3 linked regions of the Schizosaccharomyces pombe genome follow. Changing the gene in region 3 together with the main gene of any one other region gives a genetic interaction. Each region holds a gene or a part of one and is shown on either strand. Other genes may lie near its edges.

Evidence for each region. Genes that interact genetically often act in the same process or in processes that back each other up.
Region 1: mutations in pyp1 (region 3) and ptc1 impair growth when combined (synthetic growth defect), as found in Schizosaccharomyces pombe (2 studies listed by BioGRID, with this or other methods).
Region 2: of pyp1 (region 3) and cyr1, extra expression of one rescues a mutant of the other (dosage rescue), as found in Schizosaccharomyces pombe (2 studies listed by BioGRID, with this or other methods).

The regions. Positions count from the first base shown.
Region 1 is NC_003421.2:2,002,494-2,006,902, reverse strand, and holds ptc1 (serine/threonine protein phosphatase PP2C catalytic subunit Ptc1), read right to left. Parts: upstream 2,368-4,409; 5' UTR 2,225-2,367; coding exon 1,181-2,224; 3' UTR 511-1,180; downstream 1-510. Other genes in the region: SPOM_SPCC4F11.03C (uncharacterized protein), read left to right, coding at 1-171; GATA-type transcription factor Ams2, read right to left, coding at 3,421-4,409. UniProt on the Schizosaccharomyces pombe protein: Serine and threonine phosphatase. Has a specialized role in the heat shock response. May be responsible for the dephosphorylation of hsp90.
Region 2 is NC_003423.3:2,817,947-2,825,730, forward strand, and holds cyr1 (adenylate cyclase), read left to right. Parts: upstream 1-1,855; 5' UTR 1,856-2,061; coding exon 2,062-7,140; 3' UTR 7,141-7,274; downstream 7,275-7,784. Other genes in the region: N-end-recognizing protein, UBR ubiquitin-protein ligase E3 Ubr1, read left to right, coding at 1-1,279; SPOM_SPBC19C7.04C (uncharacterized protein), read right to left, coding at 7,746-7,784. UniProt on the Schizosaccharomyces pombe protein: Acts in glucose-induced cAMP signaling by catalyzing the synthesis of the second messenger, cAMP to activate PKA signaling and repress sexual development and gluconeogenesis.
Region 3 is NC_003424.3:5,159,461-5,163,860, forward strand, and holds pyp1 (protein tyrosine phosphatase Pyp1), read left to right. Parts: upstream 1-2,051; coding exon 2,052-3,704; 3' UTR 3,705-3,900; downstream 3,901-4,400. Other genes in the region: GTPase-activating protein Gyp51, read right to left, coding at 4,281-4,400. UniProt on the Schizosaccharomyces pombe protein: Plays a role in inhibiting the onset of mitosis. Dephosphorylates sty1/spc1 and wis1/spc2/sty2.

The DNA of each region.
Region 1 (4,409 bases), on a different chromosome or scaffold from region 3:
GACTTGCAAGCACAAGAAAACTACAGTGCTGCGTTCGGTAATGATGGCAGCTTTGCTTCGCATTTAACTAATACGTTTGACAACGCTCTAAATCTTCCTACAGACATTCCAACCACTGAAAGCATAAATGACTTGTTTGGTGAGAACTTTGACTTCACCATGACAAAATGAGTTGAGTTGACTTCAGTTCAGCTATGTATGATCGGTTTAACGTGGTTGTTTCAATTTGTCAATGTTTTTTTCATGTATTATTATCTATTACTATAGTCATTCATTTCCAGATCATTCAACAAAAAACCTATAAACGGTAATTATAAAAAACAATTGCATGTCTTTATCCGGTGAGTATCATTTGATTGTATTGCTCTGCACCTTTATGTATGAAAACTAGAGTTGAGACAGTAAGTAGAAAAGCGTTGTCTTTTTCCTATGTTTAGGCCAATGCTAAAATCTCGAATACTTGGTACAATTAGTGTATGTATATATATTTTTACGTGCAAATGGTATTTTAGCAGGAACGGGACAAAATAAAGACAACCCGTAACTTCAGAATAATAATTATAATTCGACTTTTAAATCGAAAATTAAAGACGATAAAAGGGTAAAATAAATTTTTTTTGGTGAACGTATAGCCTTTGTTATAAACACCAATGCATGCACGCAAGTACATTCATAATATTTGCGAAGCAATTGTAAATAAAAATACCGAAAACACTCACGAAGAACCTTAAAAAGAGTGAAATGTTTGTACCTTTAAATGGGTATGAAGAGGGCTAATGATGAATATACGATTGATTCGAACAGTGGCACGCAGATTGGAGGAAAAGGTAGCAAATCATGAAAAAAGAAAAAAGAAACTAGATTTGGACAGATTTAGGATCGATATTTAGACACATTACTTTTAGACAAAAAAGAAGAACAAGAGAAACATGCACAAAGTGGTTTATAAAAAGAAGAGTAATTAATTAGAAAAAATAAGTCGACCCAAAGGAAAACCATGTCCAAATGAGAATACAAGGTCCATAAATAAAGGAAAAGAATCGATGCAATTACAGTGCTTGGTAAACAAAAAAATAGGATTAAGTCATTCCGGCTTCCAAACAAGTACTGTGGATGAGGTAAAGACATCGAAAAACCGTTACGAAACAACAGAAAGCACATCATTGAATCCATCAAATACCTAATAATAGTCATTACTGTATGAATCATTATCAGCGGTAAGTCCTGAATCATCGAGATCACCGGGATTGCGAGTCAAGTTAACTACAATACAAGTGATATTGTCTGTACTAAGACGTTTTAATGCAAATTCTACCAGGCGAACAGCGGCTTCGCGAGGGCTTACGAAATTGCGAACAAAGTCGACAGCTTCCTGATCCGATACTACATCCCACAAGCCATCACAAGCGATAATGAAGAACTCATCATGACCGTTCCAGATTCGGGTTTCAGTGGTGAAGGGATGCGCACTGACCAATTCCTTAAGATAGGTATCACCTAAGGCCCTTGTGACAGCAAGAACGCCATTAATTCGGTTTTGTACCATGAGACCACCCAACTGGGTCACACGACGAGACTCATTGGCATCGGATCCCTTGTGATCGTAAGAAAGTCGAATAGCCTTACCATCACGGCATAATACGATACGTGCATCACCTGCATTAGCTGTGTAGAGAACACGGCGGGTGCGGTTTTTCTCATATCTAAAGAAAGCAACTGCAGCGGTACAACCGCAAATGTCATTGTGAGTAGCCTTTGCAATTTTGCTGTTGACCTCGACAAATGTTTCGTCCATTAGGTCTGTGACCAGCCGGTCCGGCTCATTCCTAACCTTTTCCAAAAGTACCTTGTGAAGATTCTTCTGACAGTAGTCAGATGCTTGAATGCCAGCATGTCCGTCATAAACGGCAACGAAGCCGTCGTCCTGATTACCCCCAAAATCATACAAGCAAATATGAGTATCCTCCATAGACCTACGCCATCTTTGGTTTTTATCCTCCATCAGTCCAGCAAGCCAGTTAGAGGCTTTACTAGGGCGCGAGTTACCAACTGGGACTGTGTTGCCTTTACTATCCTTCATCTCAATTGCAATCGGTCGAGTTTCTCCATCCGCCGAATGATCACTAGCGTTTTTTCGATGTCCACTTGTAGAATTTTCAGAAAATGGGTTCAACTTGTGAAGTGGTTCCAACAGGGAACCTGCATTTGGATGGCTTCCCTTCATATTCGTTCAAACACTTCAGTACCGACAAAAAAATTGCTTTTCAAATTAACTAAATACCTTCAATTATAATATCAGGTATAAAATTGCTGATTGTATAGTATATACGAGAAACACCGATTTTCCTTGGGTTTCTGCGTAAGTATAAACTTGTTAAGTCAGTCAGTGCTAATAAACTCGGGCATTTACGTCACGCGTGGTATACCGAGATCTTCGGAAATCATTTTTACGTACTAGGTTAACTTCCACTAAACCGTTATCCGCTCTGCATTGAACTACATTATAATACAAAAATGCTAACAAAAGGCTATTAGAAAATTAGAAATAGTAAGCAGCAATAAGCTGTTGTTTTGAATATATGAACTAAACGTTTGATTTATTCTAGACAAAAATATTGAACCATGTATTGAAATCCTTCGACTTTTACACTTGCTTTCGCGTGACTTTGGTTCGCATTACTGAAAAAAATTTGTCATGTGTTCGTCTAGTGAATTTGCTAAATATCAATTATCCGGTCTACCCATAATAATCAATTAGAAACGTTTCGCAACATAAACATGCTAACAAGAATAACAGTGTTCATATAAATAATTAAAAGTAACTTTTTCCGTATGTAAAATAAGGATGTGGCTTTGTCCATATCGGCTTTCATAATACAATTAATGAAATTATAATTTGTTTGTATAAGCAAAACAGACAGAACTATCACGAAGTATCCAAAATTTCCATAAACCGAGCCTCAAAGATGAAGTCGAAGAACATTTGAGAAGATTAAAAGAAATAGTGTCCAACTTCTATTTTGCGACAAGATTTATAGAATGCTTGTCGCATGCTCTTGGCTATGCCGCCAACAATAAGCAACGACTTGAAATATTTTAATAATCAAGGGGGAGGTAATAACGGCTCATGGTATGAAAGAAAATAAAATAAATTGCTTTAGAAATAAAAAGAACGAAGGACGGATTTGAGGGGACATGCCTTGGGAGTTCTTACGCAGTAAGGACTTTAACAGCAACAATCATTTTTTTGCGGTTAAGAAAACGAATTAAGGATGTCATTATCAAAATAAAAATCATAAAAAAGCAAGAAGACTCGAATAATGAAAGATGTCAATTTTGATCACACATGACTTCTTGATAAAACAAAAAATTAAAGAACAAGGGTAATGTGTGAAGCAAAGGTACGCCTTTATCGCTCTTTCAACAAGTGTTTTCAACGGATAAATGCCTGTCAGCAGGGACCATGGGCGGACTACTTGGCATCACCAAATCTGTCATCAGAGGAATATCGCGTCTTTCTTCATTATCGAGTTGAGAATTCAACCCCAATTCTAAAGAAAAATCATATCTTTCTGGTAATTGAGGTGAATTCTCAATGTTATTGGATTTTGCAACCGAAGACAATGCCTTTGATAAATCAAACTTTGGCTTATGCCTTGGTGTCAATACGTTTTGGTCAGGGTCAGACAAAAATAACTCTGACCTCCAGGGTGATGGACTTTGTTGTTGCTTTTGTAAGGTAGTTGGTTTTGGAGGGGTTCTGAAATAGCACTCTAAATCATCATTTTCTTTTTCTGAATCGCAAACAGGCAGAGTTGGCTCTGTCTCTTCTTTATTTACTTTAGGCATAGGCTTTGTTGTGGTTTTCAAAGGAAAAGCGACGTTTTCCTTGTCAGTACACATGAAATCAGTTTTTCTTAAAACATCATTTTGTATATTGGCACTTAGTGAATTTGGTAATACCAGCCAACTATCATTAGACCCAATTTCGGATAAAGGCTCACGAAATGATGTATCAGGAGTAGGTGCAACAATGGGAGATGATTGTATGCGTCTGAGGTCATTTTTCAGCTTAGCAGTACGGGGACCTCCTCTGGATTTCTGCTGATTAACAACAGAGGGTTTTGAGATATGATTGGGATCAGGTGCAGAGTGTGTTGAGTCTAAAGACGTAAGTCTATTCAGAGGAGAGTGCCGTCCTGCATTTTCAAGCTCACGGAAGATGGATATAGATAGTTTTCGTTGCTGGGAAAGTTTATATACGGCTAACTCAAGCTGAGCAAATGCATCATTTTCCAACGGTTTCTCTGTTTCAAATGCTTTATAGGTAGACCATAAATTTCTTGGACGCATCGAGCGCCGACTCGTCCAATATATACCACATGCATTACAAAGCATCAAAGTTATGT
Region 2 (7,784 bases), on a different chromosome or scaffold from region 3:
AAAAAATCAGCAAGTTTTTTTAAGGATTTTATCTGAATCTATCAAAACTTATACTTTGTTATGTGCACATGATTCACAGAAGCGTATTGGGGGTTCAATTCAAGAGTTTGAATTTATTAGTTTCTGCCAACAAAAAAGGATATTTGGGCGACTATTGCCCTCTCTAGATTCACCGGTTACCAAATCTATTACTGATGATAGAGTTGAGCCGTTACTTGTGAAGGATACATTTCGAGAATTCGCCGAAGCCAGTGTCTCTGGTTTATTATCATGTGACGAATCGTTTCACTACTTGACGCAATTATACTATACTGCCGATATAGTTCGAAACTTATGGATTCTTTTGTCACAAAGAAACTCTTTACTGAAATGTATGGAATCAGTTGAATTTGAAGCCTTTGACTATGAGCAGCTAAAGGGGTTTGAGCACTTAGTTATCCAAATTTGGAAAAGTCTTCGTGTCGACGGAGCAGGATTAATCAATTTTGATTGTTGTACGGAGGATGATCTAAATAATCCTCATCTTTTGTTTACACTGTATAAACTATTGGAAAGGTTTTCTCTAATCTTCCTTCGAAAATGTGCTTTGCTTTGGTATTGCCGCTATGGAGTTTCATTTGAGACGCAACCGAATTTAAACTTTCAAAATTCAGAATTATCACGTTTACAAACAAAAATGCATATTCCAGGTGTTATTGAATTATCTAATCATCTTTGTCTTACGGCATCTTCCACAGAATGGAGCCTTATAAAGCACTGGTGTAATTTCTTTACAGAGACTGGTCCTCTATGCGATTTTCCTCGCGCTTATTACCCTGGAATTTATGAACTAGTTTCTTTACCGTATGAATTGGATAAAGTCTTTGAGTTACTATTGGCCAGGCGATGCTCGAAATGTTTAACTGAACCTATGGAACCAGCGATATGTTTATTTTGTGGGAAGCTCTTATGCTTCCAAAGTCATTGTTGTTCCTTTAATGGTATTGGAGAATGTAATCTTCATATGCAACAATGCGCTTCTGACATTGGAATTTTTCTTATTGTCAAAAAATGCGCTATTCTCTACCTCAATCCACCTGTAGGAAGCTTCTCTGTAGCTCCATTTTTGGATGCGTATGGAGAGACAGATTTGGGATTGCGTCGTGGCCGCTCTCAATATCTATCACAAAAACGTTATGATGAAACAGTACGAACGATGTGGCTAAACGGATCTATTCCTTCTTATATTGCTCGACAACTGGATGCGAATCCAGACACCGGAGGTTGGGAAACACTTTAGGCTAAACAATGGGAGTTTACGTGATCTAAGCTACTAATTTTTTTAATGCTTCAAACACCTTGATTATTTATTAGGATATATATACCAAAACTTGACATTTTATCATTTAATTCATATTCATTGACCTGTAAATATAGGTTACTTTACAAACATTTCGTCTCATTCAAACAGTCAATCGTATTGCCCTTATATTTAAGGGGCGAGTATCATTTAAGGATAAAATTAGATGAAAGTTTCATGAATACTTTAAAACTCAGTTTGAAACTTTGATAAAAGAAGCTTTTTTAACTCATCAGTCAAATCCAATGTTAATTAATGGAAGGAGTAATGGAAAGCCTTCAAAAAAAAAAATAAAAAAATCATAGTAATTAATTCAAGACCGCCTTCATCTAGTATATTCAGTAGATTTGTTTACAAATCGATGAAATAGTGACGTACGCAGTATTCGAACGCGCCTTACAGTTTCTTCCTCACTAATTCACTGAGAACACATAGTGTTGGAAATTACCACTCTGGAATATAGTTTAGAGTTAGGAAGATACATGAGGTGTTGGAACCCAAACCCTTTCTTGTTCTAAACCTAACAAGTGATATAATCAGACAAAGAAACGCTGGTGTTGGAACTAGGATAATAGAGCAAATACTAGTTCTATAAATTCAATATTCCTTCCTTGGATAGGGATATAACCATTATTGAATTTTCCTTGTCCAAAATTCGCGTATAGTGGTATTTTTGAAACGAAGGTGCTACAGATTCTTAGGAAGGATGCAAATTGCCACTAATGGATCAAAGCAAGCGATTGTTAAAGTCAGCTGTTCCAAACCCGCCTGAACATTTTAAAACAGGTATATCCTGGCTTGATGACCTTGACGAGAAGGACGATGACTCAGCGACGTCTGTGAACTATGATATACCAGAAATAACCGAAGCAAATCTCTGTAATGACTCCCATGAAGCTCTTTCACCTTGCACTCAACCTGTCGGTAATTCTGGACGACCTGTCGAAGCTTTTAAGACCTATCCTAGCACTCCTGCAGTACCTAGCAAAAGCGTGCTTTTCCATTTTTATGAACCGGATGAGAACTTTAGCTTATCTGACACGGGACGTACTAAATCGGATACCGCCTTAGCTGCAAGAGAAAGCTCTGAAAAGTCTGAAGTGCCACGTGATACCCGTAGTGCTGGGATAAAGCCATACAAAGAAAATAACTCGTCTAATTGTGCAATTTCTAAAGAAGCAGGCCTTCGAAGACTTATTGATAAGGACAGAGAATCTTTCGACAAAAACCTGAATCAGTCATTTACCAATCTAACTTTTCCAGAACCGATTTCTGATGACAGTGACAGTGTGGAGTTTCAACGTGATTCTCTTAATAACAATTGGCCAGCTAGTTTGGAAGGTAGCATACACGAATTACCCAGGAATAGTGATGATGATGGAATCCCTGCTTCTGCGGCTCATATCCTGGACCTCGATTATCATAGAGATAGTTATGATAGCCCTTGGAAGAAGTTTTTACCGTACCCTTCCATTTTATCCGATGATTCTTGGAAAGCTCCGGAGAGTTGGGGAACTAGTTTGCCCACTGAGGCTATTCCAAAGCAGGTTTTTACTACTAGATTTTTTGCTCGTCCTTCCCTGGGCAATAGAAAGAAAGAGTTCTTTCTTCGAGTATACCGTGATGATCGAACTTCCGTATCATTCATTTGCCCTATTGGCATACAAACTCATGAAGTGATTAAGCTGTTAGCAAGGTTATTTTTTCTTCCCTCGTCTGCTAATTTTTACCTCTTATTAATCCAATTCAATACAGAACGTATTTTGTTGCCTCATGAACAGCCATGCATTATATTTGAACGATTATTGAGTTTGTTTGGGTGTAAGGTAACTTCCGATGAAGAAATAAATGAAGAAGATAATTATAGTGTTGCTAGATTGGTGTTTACTACGATGGATATTGGAGCGGATGTATTGCGTAAATTCTCTGAAAAAAAAATTACTGCGAACCTTGACATTAGTAGGTCAAACCTGGAGGTTATTCCGGTAAAGATCTATCCCTATGCCCATGAACTTATCTCGTTGAATGTTTCGCACAATTTATCGCTGGACCTGCCTTTAGATTTCATGGAGCGCTGTGTCAAGCTTAAGCGGTTAGACATTTCCAATAATTTAAGGTCTCCAAGAGGAAAACCGATTACTGCTCTTCGCCAATTGGAAGTTTTGAACATGTCTCGTAACGATATATATGAATTGGATCCTCTTATATTCTCTGGGCTTAGTCGAAATTCTCTGAAAGAATTGAATATAGCTAATAATAAGCTGTTCTTCCTTCCCCATTCTACTAGATATTTGGTGAATCTAACCTATCTTGATTTATCCTACAATAATTTTGTGACTTTCCCTTTAATAATTACTGAGTTGTCCCAATTGGAGACTCTTAACTTTTCGCATAATTTATTGTCACAGATATCTAGCAAAATTGGCTCTCTTGTTAAATTGAAGCATCTATATCTACAATTTAATGATTTATCTAATCGGCTTCCACAGGAAATAGGCTTGCTAAAAAATCTGGAAACAATTGACCTTAGTTATAATGCGATTACTAACATCGCCAGTTTATCTGAATGTCCGAAACTAAATAGCATCAATGTAGCTTGCAATTTACTTTCTTTTTACGAATATTCCAATCCGTCAGCTACATTCATCGACTTCTCGTTTTGTCCACTGACTACAATTGATCCGGCATTTAGCTATAGCAATCTCGTCTACTTTGATATCTCACATGCGAAGCTTATTGGGCTCAAGGATTCTGTCATTGAAACTTTAGTAAATGTAGAAACAGTGAAAGTGAATTACAACCACTTTACTAGCATTTCCGATGCAATTTCTGCTATGCAAAATTTGAAATATTTGTCTTGCACGAACTGTGAAATGTCTTATGTTTCACCAAACCTTGGCAAATTAAAGCATTTAGTTCACCTGGATTTACATGCAAATAATATCAAAATATTCCCTGAGGAAGTATGGCAAGTCTCTTCACTAAAAGTTGTTAACCTGTCTTCCAATATCCTGGAGAAAATCAAGTTACCAGTTGCAACGTCAAAAAAATTAACTAGGACAATTAGCCAATTAAAAATCATGCGTACTTTATCAGGAAATCCGGTATCGAGCCTCTCCTCCCAAGAATTTGTTATGCCTACCGTTGAAGAATTATACTTGGTGGACAACAGATTGGGCAATGACTGTTTTACGGCTTTAGAATACTTTAAGTGTTTAAAAGTCTTAAATTTATCTTACAATTATTTAACGGAAATTCCAAGCAAGTTTTTCCAAAATTTTTCTGATCTTAAACACCTTTTTGTGTCAGGAAATGAGCTTGCAAATCTTTCCATTTCCAGTACAGCGCAGGTCCTACTTGAAACTTTGTACGCGAATGGAAATCGTCTTTCCTCTTTTCCTAAAAATGAAGCTTTGTCTAAAAGTTTAAGATTTTTGGACATAAGTACCAATAATCTGCAGAATTTAGCAGTAGAAAAAGCTGAAAAGAAGAGTTTAACTAAACTTCCTCAATTGGAATACCTTAATCTATCTGGTAACACATGGTTTCGATTCTCTGAGCATGAAGATACAAACTTTACAAAATCATATTTGAAGAATTTAAAGTTTTTGAGCATCATGGATTTGAATACAAAATTTTCTAATGCGCCTTCTGATGTTCTAAACCATTTTATTCAACGCAACTCTCCTCAACCTAACATTTTGAGGTATGGAGTATGTGGATACCTTTCTCGTTCTATTCCCGTCATCTCTGCATGTGAATTAGTTGTTAACAACTTTTTGCATCCTCAATCATCTTTATACTGTGTGCTTGACAGTGACATCAGCGCTGGAAAAAACAACCGGGTTTTAAAATTTGTGTACGACAATTTGGCTTCATGCCTAGCGCATGAGATTAATGCAGCAGATTCCTCTTCTGAACAAATTTGTAACGCTTTGAGAAGAGGATTTCTTCGTTTAAACAAAAAATTAGGAAATGTCATTCATTATGACCTTAGGAAGTCTTCAGAAGGAGACGTGGATAGTAATTACGTTACCACTATGAATATTTCAGAAAAGGGTTATTCTATGGACAGTTCTTGCTTGGATATAGGAGTTAGCATTATCTTAGTGTACGTCAGGGATACAAGAGCTTTCGTTGCCAATGTGGGCACATCAATGGCTATAATGTCTACGAGAAATGATTCGGAACCTACAACTTTAAGTGTCATGCATGATGTGTACAATAGGGATGAAATTCGTCGCATAGTTGATTCATGTGGTTTCATATCTGGTGAAATAAAATCGACCACTACACGTGCTATTGGTCGTTTGTCTCAATTTCCTGGCGTCCAAGCAGTTCCCTATGTTAATGTGCAGTACTTATCTGAACTAAACGAATTTATCATTCTAGCAAATCAGGAATTTTGGAGCGTATTATCAAAACGCACAGTAATTGACGTTGTTCGTGCCAACAGACATTCTCCTCTATTAGCCTCTACGAAGCTACGTGACTATGCTATTGCATATGGTGCAGAAAAAAATGTTCTTGTAGTTATCGTCGAATTGAACGGATTGTTTGAAGAGAATTCCCTTAATTTCAACCAACTACGGGGGGATGAAAAAACTTTAGCAATTTCTGAAAAGAACGATAATATGTCATTTGTCCAAGATTTACCCGATGATTCTTCTTTAGCACGAATGAATAGAGAAGTCTCTCCCCCGAAAGGTTGTATTGCCATGGTTTTTACTGATATTAAGAATTCCACATTATTGTGGGAAAGACATCCTATTGCAATGAGATCTGCGATCAAAACTCATAATACTATTATGCGTCGGCAACTCCGTGCAACTGGAGGCTATGAAGTAAAAACCGAAGGAGATGCGTTTATGGTTTGTTTTCAAACAGTTCCTGCTGCATTACTTTGGTGTTTTTCAGTACAATTACAGTTACTTTCGGCAGATTGGCCCAACGAAATAGTTGAGTCAGTGCAAGGACGGTTGGTACTCGGCTCAAAAAATGAGGTGTTATATCGAGGGCTTAGTGTTCGAATTGGTGTCAATTATGGTGTAACCGTGAGTGAACTAGATCCCATCACTAGACGTATGGACTATTACGGGCCTGTAGTAAACAGAACATCTAGGGTTGTATCAGTCGCTGATGGTGGTCAAATTGCTGTTTCTGCTGAGGTGGTATCTGTATTGAATCAGCTTGATTCAGAAACAATGTCATCAGAGAAGACGAATGTCAACGAAATGGAAGTTCGTGCTCTTAAACAAATCGGTTATATTATCCATAACCTTGGAGAATTTAAGTTAAAAGGTTTGGATACTACTGAAATGATTTCATTGGTTTATCCTGTGCAATTGCAAGGAAGACTGGAGAGATTGATAAAGAGCCGAAGTTTGGGAACACCCACAGCCCTCCCGGAAACTCAGACTTATACTCCCGTTCGTAGTAGAAGCAACAGCTTGCGACCCATGTTAGCAAGATTGAGTGATTCAAAATCTGTCCATGGAGAGGAGGGTGGTTCTGGGAAGAGATCGGTTTCATCCTTGCGCAACGTATCACCATCAGAGAGTACTGGTGGATATGAAGGTTGTATTTTTGATGACCAACAGTATCAATTACTTTATGAACTTTGTGAGCGTCTTGAAGACCATGCCGCTATACTGCATGGGTTTCCTGAACCACCGCCTTGCGATACCGGTCTGGCAGCTCCCGTAAACCAGGCCGAGGAGTATTCATTGTTCTACCGTCTGACTTTGCGTATCGAGAATACTATTTATTGTGTCAGTCAAATGCTTGGACACACTGGCTAAATGAATGCATATAATGACTGCTATATTTAAATAATGTTTAACCCCATAAATAGTTTATATATATATATTTATTTTTTGTATATATAATTTGCATATTTTTAATAAAATTTTTTTTTTTTTTGCTATACCCTAAAGTTGGAATTATGGAATACCAAATTAACGTACGTGTTTCGAGGCAAATCAACTTTTATTTACTATTAGTAAACAATAAGAAACTGAACAACGGAACGACAGTAGACTGATACAAAAGTAAAAAAAAAGAAAAATTGTATTAAAGAAATACGAAATAAAATAATTTTCATGCAAAATGGTATAGGAGTAAAAAAACACAATGGGGGAAACTCGGTATAACACTTGATAACAATGTAAACCCCAAATAAAGATAAAAAAAAATGCAAAATAGAAGAAAAATGAAAAAGAAATCGTAAGAGTAAGATCGTAACTAAACTAAAAATACAGCAAAAAAATTTGGAAAGAATGAAGCAATAAAAATACTAAATAAACAAAATTGGAATCAAAACACTTGACAGCCCGGTATAAAAAAACTTGAGAAATGAAAGATAGAAAAAAAATAAGGAAAAAGACGGAGCTTCAACAATAGTAGTCTAAAGCCTAGAATGACGAGAAGATGTCTTGGAAAGATG
Region 3 (4,400 bases):
TGTTCGATCCGAGGGTTGGTTAATTTGATAGCCTACTTGTACTCAATTGTTACTTTGTCTGGTTGATCTATTTGATCTGTTACTTGTCGTTGGCTTTTTTTTTTTTCTTTCTTACCCGGGGGACTATTAAGTGATATCATTGTTTGGTGCTCCAAGATATACCTATTTCTACTTCTTCTTCTCTTTCTACATATCGCTCGCTCGTCCTCTCCCTTCCTCCTCTTAACCCTTTACTTGCTCCCAATCCTTTTTATCTTTTGGGTTTCCTGTTTAAACGTTGGGTAAAGTATAAGATTGGATCTTATTTTCATCGTCGTTTTGTTGGATCGTATGAAAAATTTTACCTTGGTTCGTCGCTCAGTCCTTGCTCTGATCGTTTGGTAAAAATCAAAAATCGTTAGACTTGATTTCGTTGACGTTTAGTGCGTTTAATTCTCTTTCTTAGATTTTTTCCTCCATCCTTCATCTCGTCAACAGTTCTCTCTGTTGTCTCTCCACCGCTATACGTAGCTTTTAAAAGTCGTTTGTTTCATTACCTGCGCCCATCTTTTCTTTTCTAAACTTTAACTCAAAGTGAATAAATAGGAAGAACTAGTCTTTTTTCCTTCCATAAAAGAGCACCAGATATATCGTTGAATCGCCGTGCTTTTTCTATTTGCTTCATTTTTTTATCCCGTACGATGCAAAATAGTTAATTTCTTCAACTTTTCTCAACTTTTGTTTCACCACTTCTTTCTCTCAATTGGGTTAGATTTTTCTCCTTTTACATTTTTTTTATACCTCCCTCTTTTTTTTTCTTGTTTCCTTTTCGTTGATATTTTCATATTTTCGGAATTCTCCTTTTCTAGTTATCCTATTTCTCGTTTCATCATTTTCTTTGTCTTTTCTCAAAAAGGTGTACTCTTGGGTTTCTTTCCACAGTGTAGTATCGCTTTTTTTGAACCTTTGAAGAGCTCATATATTCCTTTCCCTTGAGTTTTTCGGATTAAGTTTTGAATTTTTTTCCCATTTTCTTCATTGCTTTACCGTTTGTTTTCACTTCACTTTGGGGTCTTGGTGGTTACTTGTCTATTGTTTTTTTTGTGGGGTTCTGCATTCTGAATAGTTCTGTTTCTTTTTTTCTGAACTCATCTGTCTAAGTATTCACCATTCATTTGGTTTATTTACAGACGTGTGCTCTGTAATTTTCATCCTTAGTTGACCTTACGTTTTTGCTAGTTTGTTGCATCAACGTGCTTTTGGTTCCCCCCTTTAGCTTTGAATACGCTTCTGACTTTTAAATTGGGTTTTCTGTTTTGTAGGAAAATTATTCCATTGTCATTACATTTCAATTAGCCTCTACCTCTTTTCGTTCCTCGATCTCCTACTTGTATACTTTTCTGCACTTTGACAAACTGCAACTTATAATATTTCTTATACCCTCTATCTTATATTTTTGTTCAGTCTGGTTACTGTTTTCGTGCGTGTGCCCTACCTTTTTGCATTTTCTACTAAATACGAAATAATTTCTTAAATAGTGTTGCTTTTTGCAATCTTGCACTGTGCACTCACAAGCAGTATTTTTATTTTCCTCTTAAAATCGCTTGACCTTTGAAGTGACGATTCATTAATCCGTTAATTTTTAAGGATTCCCCCTTTTTATTCTCATATTTGCATAGTACTGATTCAAACCCATTCTTTGAATTGGATACTCCTCATCCCCTCTAAAACTCTTCCATCTTTATTTTCTGCAGAAAGTTTGAATTGAAAAACTTTTTTCATCTCAGACTTGATTTGAATCTTCTCTTGTTTCCTTCTATATTTTACTAATTTTATTGCCAAATTTTGCGTTAATTCTTTCCTTTTTAGAACCCTGGATTTTCCGTAATTTTGATATTTCCTATCCATTCATTATTTTGCTTTCGGCCTTCAAAACTTGTGCTATCCAATATTTGTATTTTATTTAAGAAGTCTGAATTTTTTTTTACTTTTTTACTTTTTTTTTTAATCATCTCTGCTTCTTTTTTAAGGCCAAATATTCTTAATACAAAACATTCATCTAAAAAACCACGATGAATTTTTCAAACGGTTCAAAATCGTCTACTTTTACAATTGCTCCTTCGGGTTCATGTATTGCTTTACCTCCTCAGCGGGGTGTAGCAACGAGTAAGTATGCTGTTCATGCTTCTTGCCTCCAAGAATATCTCGACAAGGAAGCTTGGAAGGATGACACATTGATCATCGACCTTCGTCCCGTATCCGAGTTTTCCAAATCTAGAATTAAGGGCTCCGTCAATCTTTCTTTACCTGCAACCTTAATTAAGCGTCCTGCCTTTTCGGTCGCGCGTATCATCAGCAATCTTCACGACGTCGACGACAAGAGAGATTTTCAAAACTGGCAAGAGTTTTCATCCATTCTTGTTTGTGTTCCTGCTTGGATTGCTAACTACGTAACGAACGCTGAGGTAATTGGTGAAAAATTTAGAAAAGAATCCTATTCTGGTGACTTCGGTATTTTAGATTTAGACTATTCGAAAGTCTCGGGCAAGTATCCATCTGTGATTGACAACTCTCCTGTAAAAAGTAAATTAGGTGCTTTGCCTAGCGCTCGCCCCAGATTGTCTTACTCTGCTGCTCAAACTGCTCCTATCTCTTTGTCCAGCGAAGGCTCCGATTACTTCTCTCGTCCTCCTCCCACTCCTAATGTTGCCGGTTTGTCTTTAAATAACTTTTTCTGTCCTCTACCTGAGAACAAGGACAACAAATCTTCTCCATTTGGCAGTGCTACAGTCCAGACACCCTGCTTACACAGTGTGCCCGATGCTTTTACCAATCCAGATGTTGCGACCCTCTACCAGAAGTTCTTGCGCCTGCAATCATTGGAGCATCAACGTCTAGTTTCTTGTTCGGATCGTAATTCTCAGTGGAGTACCGTTGATTCATTGAGTAATACATCGTATAAGAAAAACAGATATACCGACATTGTTCCTTACAATTGTACTCGTGTGCATTTGAAAAGAACTAGCCCTTCAGAGCTCGATTATATCAATGCTTCCTTTATCAAAACTGAAACTTCAAATTACATCGCTTGCCAAGGTTCTATTTCTCGTTCTATTAGCGATTTCTGGCACATGGTATGGGACAATGTGGAGAATATAGGCACTATTGTTATGCTTGGTTCATTGTTCGAGGCTGGCCGCGAAATGTGTACTGCATATTGGCCAAGTAATGGTATTGGAGATAAACAAGTGTATGGAGATTACTGTGTCAAACAAATTTCGGAGGAAAATGTCGATAATTCTCGATTCATTTTGCGAAAGTTTGAAATTCAGAATGCCAATTTTCCTTCAGTTAAAAAAGTACATCACTATCAATATCCTAATTGGTCTGATTGTAATTCTCCTGAAAACGTGAAATCTATGGTTGAGTTCTTAAAATATGTGAACAACTCTCACGGATCAGGAAATACTATTGTGCACTGCTCTGCCGGTGTTGGTCGGACAGGAACCTTTATTGTACTAGATACGATCCTACGCTTCCCAGAAAGCAAACTTTCTGGTTTCAATCCTTCTGTCGCCGATTCTTCAGACGTCGTTTTCCAGTTGGTTGATCATATCCGAAAGCAGCGGATGAAGATGGTTCAAACCTTCACACAATTTAAATATGTGTATGACTTGATCGATTCTTTGCAAAAATCTCAAGTTCATTTCCCGGTTTTAACATGAAATTTTTGACTGGATTTTTCTTGGCAATATATATTCGTGTTTTAATCGATTCCTTTATTTCTTGTACTTGTAAAGTGTCTTTTTTTTTACATTTGCATTTGAATTTACTGTCAATGTTTGTGAAATTCAGTTGCTTTAATCACGTTGTCTTTTATTTCAAAAAGTATATTTGAGAACTAGGCTTTTTAATGATATCTTTTTTTCTCTTAAATTTTCTTTTTAGAACTTTGTAAACCTATTTTTTGTACAAGATAAAGTCATCAAACTGATAATAACCTTGTATTATTTTCAGATGCTTTTTAAAATTTATTACTCGATTTCTTTAGGCAGAAATATAGAGTTTAAGCGAAGTGGTCGTGATCAAGAGCAATAGAATTCTTTCTTCACTGATTAAAGGTGAGACGATTCATTAAATATACATTCATTTGAACTATCGTTTGTATGTTTTTAAGTAAGACAAACTTGCAGGAACAAAGATTTTTTATAATACACATTAAACGTAACTCAATATAAATAAATTATTATGGCAATCATTAGGATGCAGATATTCCAATAGTACCTAGAATGCTTTTATATTCACTTTGTCTTTATGCGGTTCATAAGCTGACTCCATTTTTGTAAAGCCATCATATGGTCCTCGTCTAAAACGGCCAAGTTAACTTTAGTTTCAGCAAGCTGCTTTTCTTTTCTAAAGAT